Canis lupus familiaris: one gene and its partners. The protein of the gene in region 1 purifies or fractionates together with the protein of each later gene. This does not show direct contact. Links are inferred from orthologs where the notes say so. Each region holds a gene or a part of one and is shown on either strand. Other genes may lie near its edges.

Region 1 (7,422 bases):
GAGACACAGGCAGAGGGAGAAGCAGGCTCCATGCACTGGGAGCCCGACGTGGGATTCGATCCCGGGTCTCCAGGATTGCGCCCTGGGCCAAAGGCAGGCGCCAAACCGCTGCGCCACCCAGGGATCCCCCTTTTCCAGTCTTTTAATATAAGAAACAGTGTTGCAATGAATAGCTATTCTTTTCATATTTTTGCCAGTGTATCTGAAAGATAAATTTCTAGAAATGGAACTGCTGGGTTGAAAGTAAATGCATGTACTGGGACAACTGAATATCCATGGACAAAACACTGAAGCTAGACCCCTACCTTATATCACATACAAAAATTAACTTAAAATGGATCAGAGATCTAAATTTAAGAGTTGAAACTGTAAAACTCTTAGAAGAAAACACAGGGGTAAATCTGTATCAGCTTGGATTTGGCAATGGCTTCCTAAATATGATACTAAAACCATAGATAACAAAAGAAAAAAATAGATAAACTGGACTTGATTAATATTAAAAACTTTTACCACTTCACACTAAGATGGCTATCATAAACAAATGAATAAATCCAAAAGCAGAAACCAGCAAGTGGAGAAATTGGAAACTTTGTGCACTACTGGTAGGAATGTAACACGGGGCCGCCGGAGTTGTGGAAAACAGTTTGACATTTCCTAAAGAAATTAAAACAGAATTATCGTATGATCCAGCAAGTCCACTCGTAGGTAAATACCTAAGAGAAATGAAAATATACGTCCACACAATTACTTGTATATGAACGTTCACAGCAGCACTCTTCATAACAGCCCCAAAATGGGAACAACCCAAATGTCCATCGTTGGATGAATGGATAAAAAAAACATGGTATATCCATAAAACGGGATATTACTCAGGATGAAATTTGGATGCATGCCACAACACGGATGACCCTTGAAAACGTCCGAAGTGGAAGACACAAAAGGCTTCACAATGTATGATTCCACTTACATGAAATATCTAGAATGGGCAACCTTATAAGCACAGAAAACATATTAAAGTGACCAGGGGTTGGCGGGGGAGGAGGATTGATGGGGGAAAAAAAGCAAATCTATACATAATTTTGCTCGGCATTGCTAAATTCCCCTCTGTAACAGTTGTACCATCTGCATTCCCATCCGTAGTATATGGAGAGTATTTCTCTGGACCTCCCCAAGGAGACTACTGTCAAACTTTTGGATTCTTGCCAATCTGATTGCTAAAATAGTATCTTAGTGCAGTTTTAATTTGTATTTTTTTCTTACAAAAATCCTAAGGATGTTTTAGTCTGCTGGCATTGGTTATGCAATCACCATGAGACTTCCACAGACTAATACATGAAGGTAAAATATTTTTAAGTTAAATATGGCAAGTCAAGCAAGTAAGAACTACACACATTAGCTAATGTTTTAACAAATTCATTATTACGGTTATCGTTATAAATTCTAATTCTAGGGCAGCCCCAGTGGCTCAGTGGTTTAGCGCCGCCTTCAGCCCAGGGTGTGATCCTGGAGACCCGGGATCGAGTCCCACGTTGGGCTCCCTGCATGGAGCCTGCTTCTCCCTCTGCCTGTGTCTCTGCCTCTCTCTGTGTGTCTCTTATGAATAAACAAAATCTTTAAAAAAAATAAAAATAAATAAATTCTAATTCTAGAAATAAAAAATGTAAAACTTATTTGCATATGGTACCTTCTGCATGCATAGTACTCTGCTAGTCAACGTTCAACAACAGAAAAGCCTGAATAATACTTTTGATGACTCCAGAAATTAGATAGAACGTGTTTTCACCAAACATCAGAACCCTATTCTGGTTGCTAGTTTTAGGAGTAAAATCGTCATTGTGCATGTTACTTCAAGTCTAGAGAATTTTCCTATAACATTTTCAAGAATTTTCCTATGTAATCTGAAATGTAAGATCAAAGATGAAAGAATATAATTTGCCAAAAGGACAGAATGAGGTACAAGGTTACCTTTCCACTTAGCAACGAGCTTAGGATCTGAAATTGTGAAGTTTGGACGGCTTCTAGACAGGATACCTTTTCCAAAATAACCCTTCCAGGAAAAGAGAAAACAAAGTTAGTTCATGTTTAGTTCGCCAATTTTTTAGCTGAGGGAAAACAACTATTTGAGTTAACAACAGATTTGTTCTATTTTTCATAGGTTTACATTTTCCCTCTGATTACTTAATGATTACTAACGAAGATCTTAGCATTCATCTCTGATTGTTTGAAGAGTTCTAGTAAGTTTTCAGTATACCTTAAGTGCCTTATAACTAAGCTCAAGGCAATGGGACAGGTAGAGGCAGGGCCTTAGCCTAGACCCCCATCACCAGGAATCAATGCCACATGCTGTATTCCACCTTGAGAAACTGGCTACAACATATATATTTTATATAAAGTGTCTAGAAAGGCACATTTTAGAGAGGAAGTGGATCAGTGGGTGACATGGGCTGGAAGTGGGAACAGGGATTAAGTGCAATGGTACTTGCATTCCCTGCTGGGAATCCCCCATACTGGACCATGATGGTGTTGCACAACTCTATGAATTTATTACAATCACTGAATTGCACATTTACAATGGGTGAATTTTATGACGCTAAATTATACATCAATAAAGCTATTTAAAAAATGCCCCAGTTGGAGCACTTGGCTGGCTCAGTTGATATAGCATGTGACTCTTGATCTCGAGGTTGTGAGTTCGAGCCCCATGCTGGGGGTAGAGATTACTTTAAAAAAAAAAAAAAAAAATATATATATATATATATATAATAAAGTAATGAACTGGCTATGGACCAAAAAATAAAATAAAATAAAATAAAAAAAGCAAGCTATCAATCTCAACCTGAATCTATCATTGGTGGAAAACAGCAAAAACTGGAAATTGTCCTTATCTAAGAAGAGGTCGCCAAACAGATGAGAGCACAGATAACAAGTCAGAGTACATGCTGAAGCCTCATCTGTCCCTGAGCCAGAACAATATGCCATTCTGTGTTTATCTCTGGAGATGGAATGGGAGTGGGGAGTTTTTACCCATTACATTTCTGTAAATTGCTTGGCATATTTATGAATATGCATGGTTTCTGTAACTTAAAAACAAGAAAGGCCAATGCACTGATTGCAGTTTATTGTTGAAATGTGGGTTCATGGGTTGGGGAGCCTTCCTCATCAGTATATGGCTTCAGGGCACCTGATTCAAATTGTGTAGTTCCTCTCCTACATGGGATTGAATGGCAATAAAAGAATATGGGTCAATTATGGTCTGATTTTGGGAGTGAATGGGAGGAAACAAAAAGGATACCCTGGCTCAGGACTGTCAGGAAGTAGCCATGCCAAAGCCGCCAGTACTTACTTTCCCATAGAGCTGCTCCATATCTTCTGTGTTCCTCACAATTACATTGTTGTTTATCATCTCTGCTGTGAACACTTTGAAATCTTGCTTAGGCCCACAGTCTTGACCAAAAGGGATGGGCAGTGGAGACTCAAAACTCTCATATACTCTTCTTTTCCGCTTTGGGGCACGGAAAACTGCTTCTGCCATTTCTCAGGGGTAACTGTTTTTTAAAGAGTATAATAAGGAGAAAGAAACAGATAGCCAATCCATAACTATATTGATCAAAAACAGGGGTGCATTTATCTCTAGGCTCAGAAAATTTTGTGGTCTGTGGGAAAAATAAAATATTTAAAAGCAGTGAACTAGAAGAAAGAGTAATGAGAACATTTTGTACAAGCACTACTAATCCATCACCTAAAATATCTCAATTCTCACAACCATGCCCAAGAAGTCAGTGGCAATATTTCTAACTAGAGTGGACAAGACTGAGGCCTAGTGTCATGCCCAAAGTCATCATGCCATGCAAAAGTCTATGGACAGCAAGCACAATAGGATTCCTATTAGGATTACTCCCATTCTTTCACTCAAACAACAGGCATTTACTGAGTACCTACTAGGACCTTCTGATAATCAGAGATGCTGGGGATATAAAGATAAGGCCAAAAGAGACACTGTCCTCATAGAATTAAATCTATTCAGTATTTCCTTTTCCAAAAAAGGACCTTAATATATATTCTAAAGGCCATTCATCTCTCCATGTTTAAGGTAAATTAATAACAACAATGACAGAAACAGTTACCATTTCAGGTCTGTTATGTACCACCACATACTAGTGGTGAAGAGCAGGAACTCTAAAGCCAGAGTGCCAGGACTGGAATTAGTTTTACTATGTCCTGTGTGATGCTGGGCAAAAGCTGCTTAATCTCTCTATGCTTTGGTTTCCTTATCTACAAAATAAGGATAAAAACAGACTCTACCTTAGAGTTAAGACCCCCCATAAAGGGCCTAGAAGAGTACCTGGTACATAATGAGCATCATGTGTGTATTTGCTTTAATTATTATTATGGGGTGAGCACTACCAACTCTGGTTTACAGGTGAGGAAAATAGGTTCAAGTTAGAGAGACTTTGTAAAAGGCCCCTTGGGATGATCCCAGGTCTGCTGAATTCCAAAGCCTCCACTCTTCTCCCTGGGTTCTGCTGCAAGGCAGCATCTGACCCACTTTGTCTGAAGGCCCACTATTTCTCAAGGTTAGGAGCTAAAGGATTCTGGATAATTATGGGATTACTTAGCGTGCACTCAGCACCCTGAGGAAGTAAAGGAAGCCAAAGCCAGTACCTCTCCCTTCCAGGCCTTATATTCAATCTGAGGAGACAAAACAAGCACATAACACATACGAAAGCAAACTGAAGGTACCACAACAGGCTGCAATTCCATAATGGCTAAAGGAAGGAAATGAAGTTGAGTGCATTGTGCGATAAAGAAACAAAGCCCCAGCAGATACATCTAACTTAGGAAAACTCAACCACATGCAAGGGGGAGAAAGTGTACACAGTGCAAGAGTCTGGGCCAGGCACTCCACTCTTCCAACAGACACCCCAGGATGAGAAGGGAGGCTTGAATCTGCTGCTCCTTCGTCCCGGGTTCAATTTAAGCTGACAGCAGATCTGGTGTTTGAAGATACAGTGGAGCCATATTACACGTTTCATCTACATGGATCCAGAAAATGAAGTAAGACTGCTTATTAAAATGCCTCCTGCACTTAATACCAGCATCTATTGGGCAATGGATGTCACCAAGCCTGAAACAGCCAGTGACAATGGCCAAATCCTGAGGAAGGTAAGTGGTTGTATGGGTTTATGACCATTAAAAAGAAATAAAATATCTTGCCTTGCCCATTGTGTGATACCTTTATCTGCCCTCTCAAAGAAACGGAGGAATTAGATGAGGACAAAGGAAAACACAGACCAAGGAAGAGTTATAGAAATTGATAAATCAAGTACAAAGATAACTATGAAAAAGAAGAATCAGCAAGTTGGAACCTTCATAGACTTGACTAAGTATGCTAAGCAGCAAAACACTAGAATTTAATTTTTAAGTAAGATCCCTCAAGGGAATTACATACTGAGCATGACTCATATATACATTATATATACACACACACACTGCTGTAAAGCATTCCTAACAAAACCACGTATGTTGCACATTAACGAACAATTAAGAGATTTTCTTCCAAGAGCATTTTAGCTAAACTGTCATTTGCCAACTTATCCTTCAATCTAAGCCAATGATTGCATTTAGTATTCAACAGAAGAAACAGCAATTTATTCTAACACTTGATGCCGTGTCAGCTTTTTTGAGGCAGATGATGCAATCTAGTGAAAAACTTTCTAGGCATTTCCAGGAACAAGTTGGACTTTTATGAGATTTTTCACTTTTATAACTTAACTTCTGGTTAGGATTTAACTTGTATATGCTACATTTGGAATTTTAAGAAAAGAGAAAATGTTAAATGGCTAACTTCAAGAACTTCCAATTAAATTATCTCAAACAAGTGACAATGAAGTTATATTTTAATTTGCCTAGTTTGGAATTTTCCCTCAGACTGATGCTATACTCTTAAAAATACCAAGAATGAGCTAGGACACTTGATGTCAAGAACTTTGTACTTCAACCTGTATGTGTGTGACAGAAAGGTTCCTGCCACAAAACATTGTTTTCCATTAAACCTCAAAGTCTGTGATCTGGTGTTACTTTTGCCCATGTGGCAGAACAGGCTTCAAGAATTTGGCTGATAGGTGGGGCAAGATGGCGGAAGAGTAGGGTCCCCAAGTCACCTGTCCCCACCAAATTACCAAGAATTTGGCTGATAGGCCTCCAATATATGCAAACCTGCCATCATTATCATGTGACCTTGCACAACCCACTTAAGCTCTCTGAGCCCTGTTTCTTCATCTTCAAATTGAACAGCACTGGAAAAGTCTGGAAGTCATTCAGATGTTAAATGCAAAATACCCATATAATTCCAGTCCTTGGTACAGATACAAGAAAACTGAAAACATGTTCATGCAAAAATCTGTACCTGAATGTTTACAGTAGTATGATTTATAATAGTTAAAAAAAGCAGTAACAAACCAAATGTCCATCAACAGATGAATGGATTAAAAAAATTGTGATGTATCCATATAGAATGGATTATCAGCAACAAAGGAAGTGTTGATATATGCTACAGTGTGTATGAAGCTTGAAAGCATTAAGTGAAAGCAGTCACAAAAGACCACATATTGTATAAGACCGTTAATATGAAAAGTCCACAACAGCAAATCCATAGAGACACAAAGTAGATTAGTGACTGCCAGCTGCTGAATGAAGGGAGAAATGCGGAGTGACTGCTAATAGGTATGGATTTTTTTTTTTTTTTGAGGGTGATGAAAATGTTTTAAAACCAGAGTGCAGTGATGATGTGATGGCTGACCAACTCTGTGAATATACTAACATTACTGAATTGTACATTTTACAAGGGTGAGCTTTTTTTAGATTGATTTCATTCATTCATTCATTCATTCATTCATTCATTCATTCATTCATGAGAGACACAGAGAGAGAGAAAAGCAGGGACATAAGCAGAGGGAGAAGCAGGCTCCATGCAGGAAGCCTGATGTGGGACTTGATCCCAGGACACTGGGATCATGCCCTGAGCCAAAGGCAGACTCTCAACCACTGAGCCACCCAGGGGTCCCCTACAAGGGTGAGTTTTATGTATGTGTAACGGTCTCTCAATAAAGCTGTTATTTTAAAAATTCAGTAGGACAAACCAAACGATCTTGTTTCATGGTTTTGTGAAGGAGTTGTCTTGTACTAGACTTGAAAGGCAAAGAGGGGAGAAAGGAATGAATTCACTATTCTCCATATCTGCAGTAGGCATTTACGACACGTTTCTTTAGTGCCATGATAGGAGAACAGCATAATGTCAAGGTATGGCATGAGTAAATTGAGAAGAGGTAATCATCATCCATGGGTACAACATGCTAGGCACTGACTGTGCTATATGGTACACAGATGGGTACTGGCATCCTCTTTCACAAACAAGGAAGAGAG
Region 2 (7,398 bases), on another chromosome or scaffold:
CACCTCCGCGGTGGGAGCACTCTGTCGGTGACCGCTGTGCCTCCCTGGCCCCCGCAGGAGGATGCTGGTGGTGGAGGTGGCGAACGGCCGCTCCCTGGTATGGGGGGCCGAGGCGGTGCAGGCACTGCGGGAGCGTCTGGGAGTAGGGGGCCGCACGGTGGGCGCCCTGCCCCGCGGGCCCCGCCAGAACTCGCGCCTGGGCCTCCCGCTGCTGCTGATGCCCGAAGAGGCGCGGCTTCTGGCCGAAATCGGCGCGGTGACCCTGGTCAGCGCCCCGCGCCCGGATCCGCGCCAACACAGCCTGGTAAGGGGCGGACGGGGTGGGGGCGGTGCAAACGCTCAGCACGTGGAGGCAGGACAGCCAGACTGCGGGTCTCTGCGGGAGGGGTCTGGGCGCCTTGGATTCTGGAGACTGGGATCCCCAGGTTCAGGCTTTGGGTTAGGGAGGAGTCAGGGAGCCAGGGAGCCAAGGTTCCTGGCTTCCTAAGGCAGGGCAGACTTGGATCCTGGGATTCCCGCCGCTTTACTTCTCAGGCTCTGGCATCCTTCAAACGCCAGCAAGAGCAGGGCTTCCAGGAGCAAAGCGCCCTGGCAGCGGAGGCCCGTGAGACTCGTCGTCAGGAACTCCTAGAGAAGATTGCAGAGGGCCAGGCTGCGAAGAAACAGAAGCTGGAGCAGGAATCGGTGGCCAGCGAGAGCCAGGAGGCCAGTGCGAACCCGGCTGCCGCAGAGAGTGAGGCCGGTGCGAGCCAGGCTCCTGGAGAGCCGGAGGAAGCAGGTGAGGGTGGGAGTGGAGTCCACGGACCAGGAGCAGGGGAGAGGGAGATCTTTTGGGAATCCTGGCTGGGAATCTAGGGCCTGGGGCTCATTGGGGGATGGGAAGACCTGTCCTTGGATGCATCAGACTCTTGCATTCACCTCCCGCAGGTTCCTCCTCTCCTCAGCCAGGGCCGTCAAATGGAGTGGCCCCTTTGCCCAGGTCGGCTCTGCTGGTCCAGCTGGCCACTGCTAGGCCTCGACCTATCAAGGCTAGGCCCCTGGATTGGCGTGTCCAGTCCAAAGACTGGCCGCATGCTGGCCGTCCTGCCCATGAGCTTCGCTATAGCATCTACAGAGACCTGTGGGAACGAGGCTTCTTCCTCAGTGCAGCTGGCAAGTTCGGGGGTGACTTCCTGGTCTATCCTGGTGAGTTTTGTTGGGACCTCTCCTTGTGAAAGAGACCTCCTTTTTCCTCAAAGCCCTCCCCTTTTTTCGCAAGCCTGCCACCTTTTTGTCTTTTCTCAGCCTCTGAAACCCATGGAAGGACAAGAACACTTGGGAACCATTTGAAGGGCAGTATAGTAAATCTAAGCACTTTCTTTGATCCAGAAGTTTCACTCAGAGACTCTTAGATATGTGCATAAAACGTACAAGGAATCATCACTGCAGGATTCCTTACGGTAGTGAAATATTAGAAAGCAACCAGAATGATTATTAATAGGTTAGTGGTTACACACTGGTGTTAGTTGTCAGAGTAATGTAGGTCCATGTACATTTATGAAAAAATGACCAAAGGGGGGGAAAAAGAACCACTTGTCGGAAACAGGTACAGTAAAAAGCACATTATGTTTTCTGTTGTGATGCAGTTATGTACGTGTTATTTGAGTAGCCTTAAAAATTATGCTCTAGGGGCATCTGGCTGGCTCTTCCGGTAGAGCATGCGACTTTTGACCTCAGGTTGTAGGTTCCAGCCCCATATTGGGTGAAGAGATTACTTAAAATCTTAAAAAAAATCCGTATGGCTCTAGTGAAAGAATATGAGAACTTATGGTGAAGTATGGAGTGGAAAGTAACTAGCAAGCAGAAGAAGGCCTGAAAGAACGTACTCCAGCCCAAGTACAGTGGTTACCTCTGAGAAGGAATGTGCATTGGGTGTAGGTAAAGGAGACTTTCAGTGTATTAGTTCATTTTTGAATTTGTAGTAAGAATGCCTTTATTGTGTAACTAAAAGGTTAAAAAAGTAAGTCTGCAGGCAAATCACCTTTTTTTGTTCCCCCTGAGAACGCAGAAGGATATAAACACCTGATACATAGTCAAATCTTAGCTGTTGGTTGGAGACCGACTGTGTCTTCTGCACACGAGCTGAGAACCTTCATCTCTTCTCAGACCAAACACTCAACTGAGGGACTGACTTAGGACAGACAGTGTACCTGCCCTGTGCTCTACAGAACCACTGTCCTTACTTTGCTGCTGGTTTTTTGTGACTTCTGTACATAAAAGGTGATTTTGGTTTTGAAAATGAGTATTCAGCTTACTGAACGTATGAAGGCTAATATCTAGTTTCTAAGCTTTCAGTTCAGGTTGCAAATCTTTCTTTCCAATCTAGCAGGTTTTTGTTTTGTTTTGTTTTGTTTTGTTTTAATTCATGAGAGACACAGAGACACAGGCAGAGGGAGAAGCAGGCTCCACACATGGAGCCCGATGTGGGACTCAATCCCAGGACCCCAGGATCACTCCCTGGGCCAAAGGCGCTAAACCACTGAGCCACCCAGGGATCCCCATCAATCTAGCAGATTTTGAGGGACTGTTTGTCCCTGTGTGATCCTACTCACAGAAGGCCTTATGTGGTTTTCAGCGTTAGAAGCTGCATTTTAAGTTTTAATGTATTTCTTTTCCTTTTTAAGTTGTGTGGTTTTCTGGTTATAGAACTTGCCAAAAACTCAGATCTAATACATTGCAAATGGGCTGAGTTTTAAGTTTACATGTTCTAATACGGTTAAGAGTCTTACTACAGGTTAAACTACAGGTTAAAATAAGGTTAAATCTGGGTCACCTGGGCAGCCTGGGTGGCTCAGCAGTTTAGCACCACCTTCAGCCCAGGGCGTGATCCCGGAGTTCTGGGATCGAGTCCCATGTCAAGCTCCCTGCATGGAGCCTGCTTCTCTCCCTCTGCCTGTATCTGTGTCTCTGTCTCTCTCTCTCTCTCATGAATAAATAAAATCTTAAAAAAATAAATTTGGAGCACCTGGGTGGCTCAGTTGGTAAAGCACCTGCCTTCAACTTGCATCATGATCTCAGGGTCCCGGGATTGAGTCCTGCAGCAGGCTCCCTGCTCAGTGGGGAGTCTGCTTCTCCCTCTCCCTCTACCCCCTGCTCATGCACGTGTGTGCGCTCTCTCTCTCTCTCTCTCATAAATAAAAAAAAAATTTTAAAAAGTAATAAAATAACAATGAAATAAGGTTAAATACACCAACAACTTAATCACACATTTGAAACTGGCCCACAAGGCTGACCTGTTAGGGTTTTTTTTTTTTTTAAGATTTTATTTATTTATTTATGAGAGACAGAAAGAGAGGCAGAGACATAGGCAGAGGGAGAAGCAGGCTCCTCGCAAGGAGCCCGATGTGGACTCGACCCAGACTCCGGGATCATGCCCTGAGTCAAAGGCAGATGCTCAACCACTCAGCCATCCAGGCATCCCTGACCTGTTCTATTACATCAATATTTCTAAAACAATACATACTTGATATATATGAGATATATATAAAATCCTTATTCCCTGAAGATGAAAATCTTCAAGGTCTGAATCCCTTAAATATTTCTAACAGTAAATCTTCCCAATCTTAAAAGACACTAAGTCTTTTAGAACAGTTTTGGGGTACCTTCTCAAGTGTTTTGATGCTTCCTTCTGAGCCGGCAGAGGTGTCACACCAGACAGTGATGCCTGGCTCCTGGCTGTGTTCTGGCTGGAAATCCAGCTAACAGTCCTCTCATGTGGGATATCTCACCGCTTTGCTCTTGTAGGTTTACATTACCTACCCCTTTATCTTCTGTATGGTACCCCACTCTGGTTCCTACTCTATTTGATCAGATTTACCTAATTCAGGGGCAGACCACAGCCCCAGGTCAAATGAAGTCCAACAGATTTTAAAGGTAAAGTTACCAGAATGCAGCCCTGTCCATTTGTTGACTTACGGTCTGTGGCTCCTGTTGTGCTACAGTGCAGAGGTGAGTACCTATAACATGGCCCACAAAATGGAGGATATTTAGTGTCTGGCCCTTTTCTGAAAAATTGTGTTAGCTCCTTTATCGCATCTATTTATCACTCCATCCTTTTGTAAATTCTTTTCTTCTTTTACTCTGTTAGAGTAAAGTAAAATTCTTGGATATTCACATGACATGGCTTTGACTGACTTTGTGGTCCTTGTTCTTACATCACGACAGTGATATATTCAATTAATTGTTTTGTTTTTTGAATACAATTATGCCATACATCTGTGGCAGTTTGCCCCACTTGCCCCTCCCCACGCGGGGTATTGTTTATTTTTCCATGTTGGTACATTCTTTTCATTTTAACAGCTATAATCGCTTCTCAGCCTTTTGGCTAAGATCAAGTGCATTTAAACAGCTATATTATATTTCGTCTTATGGAGAGACCACAAATTTAACAAGTCTGTGGTTTTGATTGTTTCCATTTCTTAGCAGTTGTAAATGATAACAGAGTGAACATCTTCATAGATATATTTTAGTGTCACTATCCTTATAAGTAAAAAATGCCAAAAAGTGGAACTGCTAGGTACAAGAAGAGCTATTTGGAAATATTCATAGTGATTACTAAAATGATTCCTGTCTCCTACCTTTAGACATTCCAGTGTCTTCTAGCCTTCTACCACTGGGAACTGCTACATGTCTCTCTTTTACCCAGGTGACCCACTTCGTTTCCACGCCCACTACATTGCTCAGTGCTGGGCTCCTGGGGACCCCATTCCACTCCAGGACCTGGTTTCTGCTGGCCGCCTGGGGACCAGCGTCAGAAAGACGCTGCTGCTCTGTTCCCCTCAGCCTGATGGTAAAGTGGTCTACACCTCCCTGCAGTGGGCCAGCCTACAGTGAACTCCAGAGACCCGTGGGGATGTGGCTGCATCTGTGGAAAGAGCCTTTCTAGATGGTCCCAAGCTCATCTCTGCAAATGGGAGGCTGTTAACCCTCCTACCTCTTTCTGCGGTTAGATTTTGACTCCGGATTTATAAACACTACATCCTTCTTATTTCCCTCCCTGTTTCAAAGCACTTATTGGCTGTGATATTTTTGTAGTTACCTATTTCCAAGCTGTGAGCTTCTTGAGGGTGAAGACTGGGTTTGATTCATCTCCAGTTTCTACAGGGCTTAGGGCCAAGAGGTCTCAGTAAACTTGTTGAATAAACGCGGAGTCTGTGTTTTGAATTCTGATGGCAATGGGGGGAGGGGGCAGTGTGGGTTTTTGCATTTGCTTATACAGAGGAGGGAATGCCTGGAGGAGTCCTGCTGCTAGTGGGTAGCCAGTGGGGCTGGGATTTATTTTTTAAGATTTTATTTATTCACGAGGGAGAGAGAGAGAGAGAGAGAGGCAGAGACACAGGCAGAGAAAGAAGCAGGCTCCATGCAGGGAGCCCGACATGGGACTCAATCCCGGGTCTCCAGGGTCACACCCTGGGCTAAAGGCAGGCGCTAAACCTCTGAGCCACCCAGGGATCCCCACATTAAAGGCTCTTAACAAAATCTACACTCTTTCATGATTAAAACAACAACAAAGAACAAACTGGGAATCAAGATTGCTTCCTTTACCTGATAAAGGGTCTCTATGGGGGATCCCTGGGTGGCGCAGCGGTTTGGCGCCTGCCTTTGGCCCAGGGCGTGATTCTGGAGACCCAGGATCAAATCCCACGTCGCGCTCCCGGTGCATGGAGCCTGCTTCTCCCTCTGCCTGTGTCTCTGCCTCTCTCTCTCTCTATGTGACTATCATAAATAAATAAAAATTAAAAAATAAATAAAAATAAAAATAAGCCCCTGAGCCACCAGGGCTGCCCAGGGGCTGGGATTTAAAACTCTTTCTTTCTTTCTTTCTTTCTTTCTTTCTTTCTGGGGTAGGGGAGTGGAGGGGGGGGGGGGGGGGAAGGGGGGAATGGACGGTGGAAGGGGAGACGGGGGAAGGGACGGGAAGGGGAAGGGGGAAGGGAAGGGAAGGGGACGGGGGAGAAGGAAGGGAAGGTGAAGTGGGGCGGTGGCACGGGAAGGGAACGGGGGGACGTTAAAGGGCAAATAAAGGGCCTGACCTGTGAATTTAAAGGACCGGGACTGGAAGTCAGGGGGGGGGTTCTTGGAACTTTTTCCTTTCCTTTTTCCTTTCCTTTTTCCTTTCCTTTTACCTTTCCTTTTTCCTTTCCTTTTTCCTTTCCTTTTTCCTTTCCTTTTTCCTTTCCTTTTTCCTTTCCTTTCCTTTCCTTTCCACCTGGTCTTTCTGAATCCAGGGTCTGCACTCTTCCCACCACACTGAACTTCCTTTAGAGAAGATTTTCACAGAGTGTTTCAGGTGCACACAAAGGCATAAATAAAAGTAACATGAAGAAAAGGCACATGAGTGTTGCAGTTTCAGGACAGAGGTTCAGGTGGGGAGGTAATGTCAGGAGGGACACTTGGGGCTGTGGAATGCTGCTGGTGGTTTTTTTCTTGGCCTGGGTGGTGTTTATTCAGGTGTGTAGCATTATTTTTTATACCATACGTTTATGATTCAGATCATTTTTTTATATGTGTGTTCTGTTCCACCCTTTCTTAAAAAGTGGAAACACATCCAAAGAAAATACACATTTGTGAGATGCCTTTCTGCTTGAAATATTGCTTGAACGTTATCAGTACTGACTTTCAATATTTACGTATATACTTTAAAAATGCATAGTTTGTTACATAGATTTTGTTACTGAAATACAGTCACATGGTAATGATTCTGGAGCTGAAAGTGTCTATCTCTAGTTTCCCAATGTCTGGGCTGCCAATTTCTTCTTTCTTTTCTATACTTCTCAGTAAACAAATTTGCTAGAACCTCATATTTCCTGTAAGCTTAGATTAATTTAAAACAGGACACTAATCCCTGCCTCATTAACACTCTGTTCTTTGTGCCTCTTTGATAACTGGCTTGCAAATCTATTCTCCAGGCTCTCTCTTCTCTACAACAAAGTACTTAGTTGACTCAGTACTGAGTACCTCTGTCTTGAGTCTTCCCTCAAAAATTCCTCATTAAAAACTTGGCACTTGGTGGGCCCAGTTAGTGGAGCATGCAGCTCTTGATCTCAGGGTCATGAGTTCAAGCTCCATGTCTAGGTCTACAGTTTACTTAACAACAACAACTTGTAAGGACTTCCACATGCAAAAGAAGAAAGAGAAGAAGGAAATGTAGACTTTATGCCCTTTACAAAAATTAACTCAAAATGGATCATAGACTTCAGTATAAAATGCAGAGCTATTTAACTCATAGGAGATAATAGGAGAAAACCCAGACGACCATGGTTGTGGCCGTGACACTTCAGACAGAATACCAAAGGCAGGACCAATGAAAGAATTGATAAGGTGGACGTCACTAAAATTAAAAACTGAGGACGTACTGCA
Region 3 (7,422 bases), on another chromosome or scaffold:
AACCCTGTTAGGTCACTAGCTTTGTGATTTTTTGGGTGCGTGTGTGTGTGTGGAGTTTTAAAATCTCATTGTTTCTCAGTTTTCTCATCTGTAAAATGGGGATAATAATAGTTCTTACCGGAGAGGGTTGTTACAGGATTAAATCAGTTAATATTTGTAAAGCACTTGACGTACTAAGCTCTATGTAATATATGTAAGAAATAGTGTATATAGTATGCAACATTAATTTCGTTCTATTATGCTTAGAAATCCTCAGTGTTTCTTTACGGGTAAAATTCAGGCTTTTAGCTTGGGTGTCAAGACCTTGTAACCTGGTCTCCAGTTACCTTTTCAGTGTTATTTTAAAACACATTTGAGATGTGAGGAAGACAACTAGCAATACCCCTGTTCTCCTGCCCTGTACATACTTACAATGAAGCTGGAGAGGATGACTGCAGGTCTGCACCCATGCAGGTCTGCTGATGCCTCACCTCTGCATTAGGCCTGCTTACCCACTAAGTCTGCATTAGGCCTGCTTACCCACTGAGTCGCTGGATAGCTGGGAAACCTCAGGCTTCCCTTGCAGTGGGAGTCCACTGAAGAATGTTCTCCAGTGCTGACCCAAGCACAAATCAGACAGAAGCCAGGAGGGATATTTTAGCTGACTTTCTTCAAAGGCAAACAGAGTACACGGAAATGGTGGCTCTCACTAATGTGCTAGCACAGAAACCCTGTTAAGAAGTGTCTGTGCTCCTGGCAGATAGACTATTCTCTAGGCCCTGAGTATGTGTGGCCTACACCCACCTCTACTCCCACACCGTTACCCTGTCTTCTCTATTCACTCAAATCATATCTGCCCTTCAGGGCCCAATCTGTGTCCACTTCTGCCATGAAACATTCACCAACCAAGCTATCCCAGTAGAGCTCCTCTGATTTCTTATGTCATGTTTTTTTGTTTTTGTTTTTTATTTCACACACTGGTTTTTAATCACTTAACCATCATGGGTTGTTAATTGCCCAACAGTTGTGAAGTGTGCATGTGTTTACCTTAACAGTCACAAGTTTGGGGTGATCCCTGGGTGGCTCAGCGGTTTAGTGCCTGCCTTAGGCCCAGGGCAGGATCCTGGAGTCCCGGGATCGAGTCCCATGTTGGGCTCCCTGCATGGAGCCTGCTTCTCCTTCTGCCTGTGTCTGCCTCTCTCTCTCTGTCTCTCTCTGTGTCTCTCATGAGTAAATAAAATCTTTTTTTTTTTAATTTTTATTTTTTTATGATAGTCACAGAGAGAGAGAGAGAGAGAGGAGAGAGAGGCAGAGACACAGGCAGAGGGAGAAGCAGGCTCCATGCACCGGGAGCCCGATGTGGGATTCGATCCCGGGTCTCCAGGATCGTGCCCTGGGCCAAAGGCAGGCGCTAAACCGCTGCGCCACCCAGGGATCCCTCTCATGAGTAAATAAATAAAATAAATAAAATCTTTTAAAAAAAAAACACAAGTTTTTTAGAGACAGAGATCAGGCCTTCTAACTCACATTATACCTGGAAGAGAGTCTTCTACTTTATATTATATATATATATATATATATATATATATATTTAGTGAATCGTTGTTGATTGAGTGAAAGAAAATATTAAGAGATTCTTCTCTGACAATTACCTTTTGATTTCCAGTATTTAGAAATGATGGAATTAGATATAGGAGATGCCAGCCAAGTTTATATAGCATTCTTGGTTTACCTGGACCTCATGGAGAGTAAGTTATTTGTTTTATTGTTTTGCTATTGGGGCTATGGTGGGGAAATGGGGAGTTGGGTTGGGATATGGCATTTATGCATTTGCTATTAATTTTGTCAGTTTTGTAACTTATTCATTCATTTACATTGGGAATTTTATTGGATAACAAAATACTGGAAGAGTAAAGACAAGATAACATTATGGGTGATGTTTGTTCAGCGGAATATTAGGTAGAAATTTAGAATTTTATCTTTTATCTTTGATAAACATTATCCATTCAATGATGCCCTTTCAGGTAAAAGTTGGCATGAAGTAAATTGTGTTGGATTACCAGATCTTCAGCTCATCTGCCTTGTCGGTACTGAGATAGAAGGAGAAGGATTACAGACTGTGGTGCCTACATCCATCAGTGCTTCCCTCAGCCATAACAGGTGGGCAGGTGATTTTGGTCTTTAACAGGTTAGTTCCTTTCTACTAGGAACCATTAAATTTGAGGTAGTAATATATTTTTAAAGGAATGTAAGGTACAGGGATCATAGCTTTACTCTTGGTTATTTGAGGAAGTAGTTCAATATGAGCATTTAACAAGTATTTAGTACTCACTATATTGTCAGTACTTTTTCAGAGAAGGGATATATATAATAGAAATACTATCTGGATCCCTGGGTGGTGCAGCGGTTTGGCGCCTGCCTTTGGCCCAGGGCGTGATCCTGGAGACCCGGGATCGAATCCCACATCAGGCTCCCGGTGCATGGAGCGTGCTTCTCCCTCTGCCTGTGTCTCTGCCTCTCTCTCTCTCTCTGTGACTATCATAAATAAATAAAAATTTAAAAAATAATTAAAAAAAATAGAAATACTATCCTAAAGGAAACAATGTTTTCATTCTCATAAGGAAGCAAGACCATTACACTTGAAACACAGATATTTTAAGATGTACCATAATAATTGATACAATTTATATTTGCTATAGATGTTGATGAAGAGTGTGCTTAACATGCAACTTGAAATCAAAGAAAATGTCTTGCAGTTCATGGTATCTTTTTAAAAACTCTTAGCTACACCGAATTGGATTAAACATATCTTTATTTCATGACACGTTCTCCAAATCAACCCTGCAAAACAAAACTAATAGTAGGCCCACCCTTGCGTAATTCCTCTTCCTTGAGTGTGGTCTATACTTGCTGACTTGCTTTTAACAAATAAAATTCGGCAAAAATGATGGGATGTTACTTCTGAGATGACATTAACCAAAGACTGTGGCTTCTGCCTTGGACACTCTCTCTCACTTGCACTATTTGTCAGATAATATTGCTGAGGCTTTTTAGTCTTTACTTAACCAAACATTTATTGAGTGACTATTATGAGTCAGTGATCTAAGTGCTGGAGATACTGTGTTGATAAAGACAACTACCTTTTTAGGTATAAGTGACATATGACATACTACGTTTCAGGTGTATAATATAATGATTTGGTATTTGTATATAGTATGAAATGATCATCACAAGTCTAGTGAAGATTTGTCACTATACAAAGTTACAGAATTTTTCTTGTGATGAGAACTTTAAAGGTCTACTCTCTCAGTCACTTTCAAATATGCAGTGTTACAAACTAGTTGCCGTGCTGTACATTATATCCCCATATGTTATTTATTTTATAACTGGAAGTTTGTGCCTTTTGACTCCTTTAACCCATTTTGCCCATTCTCCAGCCCCTGCCTCTGACAACCACCAATCTGTTTTCTGTATCTATGAATTTTTTTTTTTTTGAGATTCCACATATAAATGAGATCACATGGTATTTAAGGCATCCTCTTGAAAGTAGTGTTCTTAGCACTAAATGTTGACTTGGAAAATAAATTTTATTTCATTTTTTGGTAATTATTGAATGGATCTAATAAAAAGAGAATTCTCCTTTGTTCTGAGACCTAATTAACTGTGTAATTTGGGACTGCCTCCACTTATTTTATTGTTAGGTAATTGAATAAAAGGATAATGGAGCACCAGTAAGTACTTTATAGAAGACTGTAGCAGAGGAAGGACAGGAAAAACCTCCTGAAGTTAGTAAGAGACCATGTTTTAGCAGGACGACTACTAAGTAGTTAAGCATGATTGCCTGCCTGTAGCATGTCTAGTTCAGAGCAGGTGCTTTATAATGTTGGGTGAGGCAGCTAATGAACATATGAGTAAATAGAACTCATGGGAAAATAGGGGAGGATGGGAAATGAGGTGGGAAAGATTACCTAGATCATAAAGCCTTCACTGATTTCAATGTTTTGCTATTAAAAATTATACTATAGTGAATAGTCTTATATGTATATCTTTATTCTTATGTATGAGAGTTTCTCTAAGGTGGAAGTCTAGACGTGGAATGGCTGGGACTTAAAGAATTTGCACCTTCCTCTTTACTGGTTGTTACTAAATTGCTGTCTTAAAGGTTATGGGTTTATAGTATCACAATAAGTTTTCATAGAGTAGAAGAAGGGATTTATTGACATATAACTGACAATAATTAATTCATAGTATATAAATAACTTCTGTGACTCAAGGAAAAACAACCCAACAAAAAAACATGGACAGAAACAGGCAATTCACAGAAAAGGAACTCAAATGACTCAAATCTGCTTGTAACCAAGGACATAGAAATTTAAATGTGCTTATTTGTGGTTCGTCTTAACGATGCAGAAGCTTTTCAGACATTTTACGTTGCTATTGTGTGACAGAAGGTATTAGCTTATGGGGGAATCTTTGAACAGGGCTACAGCTAGCTCAGAGGGTACCTTTGAGTGAATTAGAAAGAGACATACCGGGGCACCTGGGTGACACAGTCAGTTAAACATCTGCCTTTGGCTCAGGTCATGATCCTGGGATCCTGGGATCAAGCCCTGCATCAGGCTCCCTGCTCAGTGGGGAGCTTGCTTCTCTCTCTCTCTCTCTCTCTCTCTCTCTTTTTCTCTCTCTCAAATAAATAATAAAATTTTACCAAAAAAAAAAAAAAAAAGGAAAAGAAGGAAGGAAAGAAACAAAGTCTCTTCACCAGGGTTGAAGGCTTGGCAAGTAGCATAAGCTGGATTTCAGACCCACTTGTACCAAGTATTCTCGTGCAAAGCACAATCTGTACAGTATACACAATTCCTTGTACCTAAAGTATGTCTGTTGAGCCCTGGATTTCCACAAAAAATACCAAAAATTACTGCTATGTGGATGGTGCCACTTTAAGGCTTAAGGCAGAGGAGTGATACTGTAGATTATTTCATGTGGTTGTAAGAGTATTTTGCCTTTGTTACAATGTTATAATATTTCAAAGTACATTCCTAAGTGTATTCTCATTTCATCAGCTCTAAAGTTCTGAATGGTTTATAGGGTACTTCTTTTATCTAATTTCACATATAAAAAGCTGAGATTAAAAATGTATTTTCATTTATACTATATTGTTTCCAAAAGATAATGCAGGATTAAGTGAGTTGCACCAAGGCCTCATAGTAGACAACAAAGTCTGATAGCTGTTAAGAGTTCTTTTTCTATTTTCATTAGCATTTTAAAAGTTTTTTCTTGGGGATCCCTGGGTGGCTCAGTGGTTTAGCGCCTGCCTTTGGCCCAGGGCGCGATCCTGGATCCCCGGGATCGAGTCCCACGTCAGGCTCCCGGCATGGAGCCTGCCTCTCCCTCTGCCTGTGTCTCTGCCTCTCTCTCTCTCTTTATGTCTATCATAAACAAATAAAATCTTTAAAAAAATTTAAAAAATAAAAGTTTTTTTTCTTATTGAAGTATAGTTAACATATAGTATTATGTAAATTTCTGGGGCACAACATAGTGATTCAATAGTTGTATACATTAAAAAATGTTCACCACAATAAATGTAGTTACCATGTGTCACCAAAGTTGTTATAATGTTATTGACTATAACTGTCAATGTTGTCAACTCTCTATGTTGTACTTTTCATACTCTATGATTTATTTATTACTGGAAGTTTTGTACCTCTTAATCCCTTTCACCTATTTCACCCATTCCTCCACCTCTGTCTCTCTGGCAACCACCAGCTTGTTCTCTATTTATAAGTCTATTTCTGGGTTTATGTTTGTTTTATTTTTTAGATTCCACATTTAAGTGAAATCATACGGCATTTATCTTTTTCTGGCTTATTTCAGTTAGCATGCTGTCTTTTAGGTTCACCAATATTGTTATGAATACCAAGATTTCATTCTTTTTTATGACTGAATAATGTTCCACCATATATATATGTATATATACCATATATACATATATATATATTATACACACATACACAGACATATCTTTATCCATTCATCTATTGATGGACACTTGGGTTGTCTACCTATCTTGGCTATTATAAATAATGCTGCAGTAGACATAGGGCGCAAATATCTTTTTGAATTAGTGTTTTCATTTTCTTTGGGTAAATACCCAGTAGTAGAATTACTGAGTCCTATGGTATTTCTATTTTTAATTTTTTGAGGAAGCTTCATACTGTCTTCCATACTAACTGCACCAATTTACACCACCAACACGGTACAAGGGTTCCCTTTTCACCACATCCTCGCCAACATGTTGTTTATTCTTAAATCTTTTATTGTAAAATAAAACCAGATACAGAAAACCACCCAATAAAAATGTATAGATAAAATAAAATAAAACCCCTTCTATGTGCTCTATTCCAAGCATAACCCTCTCTTTCCCACCAAAGTAACTATTATTCATACTTTTTATAAAAATAATTTCCTTGTGTTTCTCTGTAGTTTATTTGTGCCTTTTTAAAAAATAGATTTTATTTATTAGAGAAAGAAGAAGCAGGGGAGAGGAGCAGAAGGAGAGGGAGAAGCAGACTCCCTACTAAGCAGGGAGCCAATGTAGGGCTTGATCCTAGGACTCTGGGATCATGACCTGAGCAGAAGACATGCACTTAATGGACTGAGCCACCCAGGAACCCTCATTGTGTCTTTTTATTTTTTTAAGTTAGGCTTATTGAAGTAAAATTTATATACAGTAAAAACACTCATTTTAGGGAGACAGACATGTGAGTTTTTAATAAATGTATATAGTCATGTAACCAATACACAGTTCCCCCCCAAACTTCCCTCGTGCTCCTCAGTCATCAATTCCTGTAGTTTTGTCTTTTCCAGAGTGTCCTATCAATAGAATTATGAGCCTTTGTGTCATGCTTCCGTCCCTTAGCATCATGCCATGGAGATTCTGCTGTGTTGTTGCATATATCAGTAGTGTGCCTGTTTTTATTGCTGAGTAGTATTCCATTGTATGGATGTGCCACAGTTTATTTAACCATCACCAGTTTTTGGATTGTTTCTGGTTTTTGGCTTTTATGGATGAAAGCACTATAAACCTCATATATATCTTTGTGTAGATGTATGCCTTCAGTTCTCCTGAGTAAATATTTAGGCACTGAATTACTAACTAGTTCATATGATAAACATATTTTTAACTTCATAAGAAACTGCCAAACTATTTTCCAAAGCTACTATGCTATTTTCTGTACCCACCAGTGAAGTATAAAAGTTCCAGTTGTTCCACAACTGCAGCAACATTTTGGATGATCAGTTTATTTAATTTCAGTCATTCAATTAAGTAAGTAGATTCAATTAAGTAAGTAAGTATCTCTTTGTGGCTTTAAATTTGTATTTCCCTGATGACTAATGATGTTGAGCATCTTCTCATGTACATATTTGCCATCTCTACCTCTT
Region 4 (7,922 bases), on another chromosome or scaffold:
GTTCACACAGCATCTCCAGATGGATAACTGGTAGACAGCTAGAACTTAATACTGCTAAAGTAGAACTCTTGATACTCCCTCATCCCTGAGTGAAACTCCCTGAGTTTCCCCAATCTCATATCCAATCTAGTTACAGGAATCCGCTTTGATTCCACTTTCTTTTCCTCACCACTCCCATCAGCAAGTGCCATCTTACCTCCAAAAGATCCAAGGCAATCTACTCTCCTACTCCACCTCTGCTAGTCTAATCCCATCAATTCTCACATTGAAACTACAAGTCTCACATATCCTTGCTCCTACTCTTCCATCTATCATCCATATTCTACACAGCAATGATTTTTTTCAAAATCAGGCCATTCCTCCATTTAACCACCTGCTTTGCTGGAATATGTCACCCTAAAATTCATATATTGAAGTCCTAAGCCCCAAAGATAATGGTATTAGGAGGTGGGACTTTTGAGAGGTGCTTAGATACTATGAATGTAAAATCTTTGTGTGAGTGGGATCAGTGTCTTTACAACAGAGGCTCCACAGTAGATCCCTGGCCCTTCCTTCTACTATGTGAGAACATAGCTAGAAATAGGCAGTCTGCAACCCCAAAGAGAGCCATCATCAGAACACAACCATGCTGATGCCTTGACCTTGGACTTTCCTGCCTCCAAAACTGAGAAATCTGTTTATAAGCTACCCAGTCTGGCATTGTTACAGCAGCCTGAATTAAGGAATTAAGACACCACCCCTCTCCCATCCTTTGCCACTGCTCTAAGATTATAAGAGCCCTACATTATCTGGTCCCTATTGCCCCCTCCAGCCTCAATTTTTACCATTCACCCCTCAGTACACCACACCACCCTTTCCCTTCATCAAATACATCAATATTTTTCCTTTTTTAGGATTTTGAACTGTTTCCCCCACCAAGACGTTGTCCCAATTTCACACAGCCATTCAAATCTTAATGTGAAATGTGCTCAGGGGAGGCCTTTCCTGACCACCCGTTCTAATTAACCCTCCCAGTCACTCTGTCTCAGACCACGCAATTTTAACTTTACATAGCACTTACCTTTTTTGTCTGCTTATTCTATGTAAGCTCTGTAAGATTTTGTCTATCTTGTTCCCCATCTAGAATGGTTCCTGGCCAATAGCATATGCTCAATAAACACTTGTGGAAAGAATGAATCAAAGGGTATCAGATAATACTCAATAATCCAGTCTAAACTAGGAACACAAATCATTTGCAAGAAATCAAAGAGAATGGGGCTTTCTTTCCCAGCTTCTTACCACCCGAAAATTCAATTTACACCTTGACCTGGGGCCCAGTTCCAATCAGAAGGACAATAGGAAAGACAGCTGCAGCGGAGAGCAAATGAGCTATGTATGGAAAATAATTAGACCAGAAATCTCAATCCAAGTTTATCACCAGCCTCTGTAGCTCCTCAAAGTAAACCTGGCATTAACAGATTTAGCATCTATTTACCTACAAGGAAAGGAAAACCATTATAAAAATTCACCTGCTTGGCTCAAAGGTGGGCCCTTGGCTTTCTTTGAAGCATTTAGCAATAACTCACTTCAATAATGTTTCCATCATGCTTAGGGAGAAAAACAAAATTAAAAAAAAATTATACCAACTTCTGTGGTATGGCAAAAATATTTATTAAAATTTCCCAAGTTTGAACTTTACTAGAAAGAGGCCTTCTGATTCAATCTTTCATCTTGGATAAATGGAATAACAAGTACTATGTACAGAATATAAAGCAGTGATAATTTTTTAAAAAGTTCCTCCTAAAAATTAGTCCACCAAGTAGCATAGTGGAAAAAATACGATTCTCCAGGGCCTCGGAGAATACAAAGCGGCACCTTTGGTGATCCAAGAAACCAATTATGTTCTCCTGGTTCTTTTTGGTTCAAGATCAGAAGAGTTAGGCTCCCACCACCCATCTTAAGAGGTAGAAATATGCTTTCTACTAGTTCACTATTTACTCGTCTGTTTGGCCTCAACAGAGTCTCATACTTTAGCCCAACTTTTTTGCCTTTCATGATGGCCAGAAGATCTCGATGCCCCAGGCAGCAAGGCTTCATACCAGTCTCTACTTAAGATCCATGAACCGGATATCCATGATGAGAAGGAAGTTCTTAGGCAGTGGGCGGGGGGCTGGAGAGAGAACAGTAAACACCTGATGTTCCAGGTCCACACTGGTCACCACGATGAAGCCAGCCACACTGGTCTCAGAAAGGTTCTCCTCTGTGCCCTCAGCAGTGCTAACACTCAGAAGGTGGTGCACCATATCTCGTCCAGGTGTGACTGGTACTAGCTTGAGCTGATTGTCCTCCTGAGACATACCCAAAGGCAAACAGGAGTCTGGGATGGTGGGTGCCCCAACTTTGTAGATTTTCACATCTGAAAATTTGACATTGAAGGCATGGGGATAGAAACAGCCCCGGAATCCATAGAAATACTCACGGATACGCTCATCCCTACACTCCCGCCGGAAGTCTTTGGAGCGTTCAACCACACCCCCTGATTTAGGGAGCAGCACAGTTCGGACGAAGTGAGGCAGGTCCCGTTTTAGTTCATTGTACAGTCGTTCTTGATCCAGAACCACAACCACGTCTACCTCAAAGGCTGAGGCTGCATGCACCAGGGCCTGATACCCAGAACCCTTGACCCAGCCACAGGTGTTAATGACACAGCCACTCACAGAGGCCCTTCGGTTCACTTCACACCTTTGATTGAACACATCCGCTAAACGAGATGTAATCTGCAGAAGAGAGCATCAAGGTGAGGAAAGGAAACACAAAACGAAAGAACTCAATAGTTATGTAGAATAAGTGGCTATTAGGTACCAGAAAACAATGACATTCTTAATGGCTAAGGTTTTAACCCCATAACACAGATTTCGATTTTATGTTGCTTCTTCTGTTTCGTGTCCTAAGTAGAAATTTAGTACATTACTTAAGAACAGGGCCACAGGAATATTTAAGAACCTGAGATTGACATAATTGAAACTGTCTTCCAAAGTCATGTGACAGAAATCCCAGCTGAAAGGGAGCAAAGAAATGGCCATAGACAGTTTTAATTAGCACACTTTTGCACAGCTTCCTACCCTGACAGCAGCCCTTCCCTCCATCCCACCTTGACTCTGGCTCTGACCTTATTATAAAGCTTGATGTTGGTGCCAGGAGTGGTGGAGCCAAAATGATACACCAGAGGGGCCTGGATAGAGAATCCCTCTTCGACATCTGCTGGCCGCTCAATGTAGAGGGCCCCCATGGTACCAGGGATGGAAACAGACCCCTGGCCCACATCCAGCTCCACATAAGTGGGACGGCGGCCCAAACGCACTGCATAGTTGAGCAGCAGACGGCACACTGTGGACTTGCCCACATCAGTGGGGCCCACGACCATCACCCGGGGACCTCGCTCTTCTTCCTTCTCCGCCTGCCTCCTCATCTGCTCCAAGGCTGTGTGAGTGTTGAGATAAAGCAACATAGGAGTGTCCTTGGAGACATAAGCCACCTCGGTGCGGCCACTCAGCTGTAAAGAACAACCATGCCAAGTGAAAACAGCCACCTTGGCACCAGCATCAAAGGTGAATTTCTTGTTTCGGGTCAGCTCTGTGCCAAATATTTCTGCCATGCCAGCCAGCAGCTCCAACTGAACTGACTGAGATGCCTCCACCTCAAAGCGAAGTTCTGTTTCTCGCTCTAGTTCAAATTTAGTTGTTGGCTTCTTGTCGTCATTGGCTTCCTCTCCCATCTTTTCTGTGTGGTTGCTGTGCCTAGAACACAAATTAATTACCAGACTGAAACAGGAGTTAGGACACTACTCAAAATCCTCCCCTGGATATTTCTCCTTACCCTCATTCTTCCCCTTAGCTGTGATCACCCCGTCTCACTATACATTTGCCTGTCTACCCCCACTGGAATGTAAGGGTTAGGCAGTCTGGTTTGCTGCTGTTACTTCCAGTATCTAAGGCTCGACAACCCATAGGCACCTCATAAAAACACCGACTGAATAAATGTATACTTTTCATACATTAGAAAAGTATATCTACACATTGACCTAAGACTTGATTATATCACTTCCATCGCTCCTTTCGTCACTCTATTGGGATACTCGACTTGAAAAGGAGACAAATACCCTCCCAGCTCTCTTAGTCCACAAGAAAGGGCGTCTGCAAACTGAATGCAAAGCAGAGAACCCTGGGTTCGGACTTAGGAAATAGCCTGGGGTGAGGCACCTAGCTGGCTGGCTCAGGGGTTGAGCATCTGCCTTCCGCTCAGGTCGTGATCCCGAAGTCCAGGGATCGAGGCCCACATCTGCTCCCTGCAGGGAGCCTGCTTCTCCCTCCGCCTGCGTCTCTGCCTCTCTCTGTGTGCCTCTCATGAATAAATAAATAAAATCTTAAAAAAAGAAAAGAAAATAGCCTAAGAACCCGCTCAGCATCTGCTACTACTGTCGTTAGACAAATCACCTGATCTCCCCAAGTGTTGTGGGGATCGGTGAAGGGGAAGAAGAATTACTTCGTCAACTAGAAAACGCCGAGGAACCGAGGAGTGGTGAACAACGATTTCCGACTGCGAACCGCAAGTGTAAGTCCAGCATCTGTCCCAGCACCCCGAGACGCCGAAACGTGCCCTGGTCCCAAAGCGCCGGCCGTTCTCTCACCTGCACAGCCGCAAACACAAACCGGCAAACCGAGGAGCCCCCGACAGCGCCTAAACCCAACGGCACGCCGCGCCCGCCCGGATCCACGCCGGAAACAAAGGCGGTTCTGCGCAGGCGCGACGCAGGAACAGTGGGAACAGTGGCCGCGCGATGCCTATCGGGATCGGTAGTTTTGCCGGAACTGCCTCCAGCGGCGGAGCTCGCGCAGCCGCGCGGCCTTCTGGGAGTTGTAGTTACAAGATTGTTTTGATCGTGACGCCATAGGTGGGCGGGGCGGCGGCGTCCTTGTTTGCGAAGACGGCGAGCCGCGGGTAGGATGCGGTGACGCCCCGCGCGAGGCGGGGACCCGCGGAGGAGCCAATGGTTGCCGGGGCGCGGCTGGAGGGGACTCTCGCCCCCGAGGTTCCAGCTCACCTGCAGCCCGGGAGAGACGGCGGGGGGAGGGGGAGGCGGGCCGGCTCGCCGTCTGGGTCCCACGACCGTCGGCTTGCCTGGTCCACAAGCCAGGAGGTCGCGGAATTAGCGGAATCCCTCGGAACCCCTCGTGGGACCCGGGGACGTCTGGGCTAAGGCAGGTGGAGGAGGCCGGCCTGGGTGTCGTCCCCTCCCTGACAGCGCTTGGCACCGAGACGGCGTTGCAATTTATTTTTTCTTAATATTTTATTTATTTATTCATGAGAGACACAGGGAGAGAGAGAGAGAGGCAGAGACGCAGGCAGAGGGAGAAGCAGGCTCCATGCAGGGAGCCCGACGCGGGACTCGACCCCCGGTCCCCAGGATCACGCCCCGGGCTGAAGGCGGGCGCTCAACCGCGGAGCCACCCAGGCGTCCCTACAATTTGTTTTAATAAAACACTTAAACGTCCAAGAATTCCTTCCAGTCATTACCCAACAACGTCTCTCCTCCGGATCGGGGATTTCTTTGGGGGGCTCGGTTTCCCTCCCTGAATTCCCAACAGTTGTACAAGGCCGCCCACCTACCCCGCAGGCAGCAGTTGGGGCCGCATCCATCAGCCTCGCGAGCTTGGGCTTTGGAATCTGTGCTCTGCTCGGCCACTTTCTCGCTGTGTGGCTTTGGGCAAATCAGGCTAACTCTCTGAGACCCAGTTTCTTGTCTGTAAAACAGGGATAATAACAGTACCCAACCTCTTAAAGTCGTTTTAAAGATTGCATGGATGACTCATGTAAAGTCCTAAGCACAGTGTAACACAGTGTAACACAGCATCTGACGTTAGCTTTTGAGTTTTTATTATAGGTTGAGGAGGGGGAGCTCTTATAATGCCATCCACATGCACAGCAGTTTCAATTTTTTATTTTTTTTAATATTTTATTTGTTTATTCATGAGAGACACAGAGAGAAAGGCAGAGACACAGGCAGAGAGAGAAGCAGGCTCCATGCAGGGAGCCCGACGTGGGACTCGATCCCGGGTCTCCTGGATCACGCCCTGGGCTGCAAGCGGCACTAAACCGCTGAGCCATCTGGGCTGCCCAGTCTGAATTTTTTAAAGCCCTTTCCAGTATTTTCTTTCTCAGCCAACGTGTAAAGTCAGTGGTATGATCTCCCAATTTCAAAGGAGGACAGAGACAGGGGAAGGGATTTGCCCATGTTAGGACTCAAACTCAGGATTTGGGAGTCCGAGTCCAGTTATCATGATAGCAAACAGGTAGTGTTAGATGCCAGGTACTGTTCAATGAGCTTTGCAGGTGTAAATTCATGTAATCCTCTCAGGAACCCTATGAAACACATACTATAATTGTCACCCCCTCTTTATAGATGAGTACTTTCTTCAGTCCGGCTCTCATGGTTACTCGGGATCAAGAAGCCTGGGACAATTTTCTGGGTTGGCTCTTTCACACCCACTCTTACCTTCACACTCATTCTGTCAGCAGGCAGTGCCATCCTCACTTTCTACGGCTTAGTCCTTGATGGTTTACTTTAATTCATTCGTTCACCACACATGCGTTAGTTCTCCTGTGAACTCTCAGGTATCCCGTAACCATTCACCATCCTTCAAAAATTCAGTTCCAGGCTTCTGTTTGCAAATTCCCTCCCTGAATGAGCTCAGCCTCTCCTCTTTCCCAGCAGTCTATTTCCCAGATCTCTTTCTTCGCCTCCACACTCTCTCCCTTGAGGCAATTTCTCCCAATTATCTGAAGGTCATCTTTATTTGGCTTATTTGTGCAGCCATCTCAAGCTGAATTTAGGGAAAAGAAACCTCTCCCCGCCTTTAGACTATCTCCCATTTCACTTATTTTTAAATAAAGTAATGTCTACCTTCAATATGGGACTCTGACTCACAGCGCGGAGATCAGGAGTCCCATACTTCACCTAGTGAGCCAGTCAAGGCGTCCCTCCAACTCACTTCTTTATTTTTTTTAATTTTTATTTATTTATGATAGTCACATCACACAGAGAGAGAGAGAGAGGCAGAGACACAGGCAGAGGGAGAAGCAGGCTCCATGCACCGGGAGCCTGACATGGGATTCGATCCCGGGTCTTCAGGATCACGCCCTGGGCCAAAGGCAGGCGCCAAACTGCTGCGCCACCCAGGGATCCCCTCCAACTTACTTCTTAAACAGAGTGAGGGCACAGTATTTACAGCATCTAGGCTTGCCTGCACTCCTTTTCTCCCTTGTCATCTTACACCAAGCATTCCTGCCATCTCCACACCCCCCAAAGAAGACTGTCCTCATGTCTTTTTCATTCTCACCAACTAAACCCTTGATCATTTTCTTCCTGAGTTAAATTAATTGGCATCCCTTTTCTGCTTCCAAACTTTCCATCCTTGCCTTAAGGACTACTCACCTACATTTTTTCCCACTTCCCATTGTTTTCCTCAAGAATAGTTCCTCAAATCCCTCCTCTGCTTACCTTTCCTCTCTCATCCACTGCCCGTACAGAAACACTTCCTTCTTTACCCAAGTCTCCCTCTTAGTTCCAAACCTCTGATAATATCACTCAAGGCACCTGCACTGTGTTTCAGAATTTATCTTCAACCCCAGAATCTTCCTTGGTTAAATCTTCAGAATTCCTTATATTTTTTCATACCCAGCTAGCAATGCTTCCCATTACCTACCATTGACCTACGCTTCCCTTCCTTACATGCGAAAAGAAAAATGACCCACGAGCTGTCCTCCCTGAGTACCTATCTTTGTCACACTTCATTTTCTAGATGGTAGCTAGCCTCCGTTAGAAATTGGGGTTTGGGGGCAGCCCGGGTGACTCAGCTTGTGTCTCATGAATAAATATGAATAAA

Evidence for each region.
Region 2: the proteins of TSEN2 (region 1) and TSEN34 purify together in Homo sapiens (affinity purification with mass spectrometry; 3 studies listed by BioGRID and IntAct, counting the BioPlex papers as one, with this or other methods). This does not show direct contact. The link is inferred for Canis lupus familiaris from reciprocal best matches to the Homo sapiens genes TSEN2 and TSEN34.
Region 3: the proteins of TSEN2 (region 1) and TSEN15 purify together in Homo sapiens (affinity purification with mass spectrometry; 4 studies listed by BioGRID and IntAct, counting the BioPlex papers as one, with this or other methods). This does not show direct contact. The link is inferred for Canis lupus familiaris from reciprocal best matches to the Homo sapiens genes TSEN2 and TSEN15.
Region 4: the proteins of TSEN2 (region 1) and CLP1 purify together in Homo sapiens (affinity purification with mass spectrometry; 3 studies listed by BioGRID and IntAct, counting the BioPlex papers as one, with this or other methods). This does not show direct contact. The link is inferred for Canis lupus familiaris from reciprocal best matches to the Homo sapiens genes TSEN2 and CLP1.

The regions. Positions count from the first base shown.
Region 1 is NC_049241.1:6,155,489-6,162,910, forward strand, and holds part of TSEN2 (tRNA-splicing endonuclease subunit Sen2), read right to left. Parts: intron 3,546-7,422; 5' UTR 3,533-3,545; coding exon 3,344-3,532; intron 2,048-3,343; coding exon 1,966-2,047; intron 1-1,965.
Region 2 is NC_049222.1:103,777,724-103,785,121, reverse strand, and holds the end of TSEN34 (tRNA-splicing endonuclease subunit Sen34), read left to right. Parts: intron 1-57; 5' UTR 58-61; coding exon 62-304; intron 305-534; coding exon 535-778; intron 779-927; coding exon 928-1,185; intron 1,186-4,343; exon of another isoform or gene 4,344-4,487; intron 4,488-4,684; coding exon 4,685-4,872; 3' UTR 4,873-5,182; downstream 5,183-7,398. UniProt on the Homo sapiens protein: Constitutes one of the two catalytic subunit of the tRNA-splicing endonuclease complex, a complex responsible for identification and cleavage of the splice sites in pre-tRNA. It cleaves pre-tRNA at the 5'- and 3'-splice sites to release the intron.
Region 3 is NC_049228.1:17,239,764-17,247,185, forward strand, and holds part of TSEN15 (tRNA-splicing endonuclease subunit Sen15), read left to right. Parts: intron 1-1,645; coding exon 1,646-1,727; intron 1,728-2,003; coding exon 2,004-2,139; intron 2,140-7,422. UniProt on the Homo sapiens protein: Non-catalytic subunit of the tRNA-splicing endonuclease complex, a complex responsible for identification and cleavage of the splice sites in pre-tRNA. It cleaves pre-tRNA at the 5' and 3' splice sites to release the intron.
Region 4 is NC_049239.1:38,995,739-39,003,660, forward strand, and holds CLP1 (polyribonucleotide 5'-hydroxyl-kinase Clp1), read right to left. Parts: upstream 4,849-7,922; 5' UTR 4,522-4,848; exon of another isoform or gene 4,473-4,521; intron 3,777-4,472; 5' UTR 3,755-3,776; coding exon 3,149-3,754; intron 2,757-3,148; coding exon 2,085-2,756; 3' UTR 1,630-2,084; downstream 1-1,629. UniProt on the Homo sapiens protein: Polynucleotide kinase that can phosphorylate the 5'-hydroxyl groups of double-stranded RNA (dsRNA), single-stranded RNA (ssRNA), double-stranded DNA (dsDNA) and double-stranded DNA:RNA hybrids. dsRNA is phosphorylated more efficiently than dsDNA, and the RNA component of a DNA:RNA hybrid is phosphorylated more efficiently than the DNA component.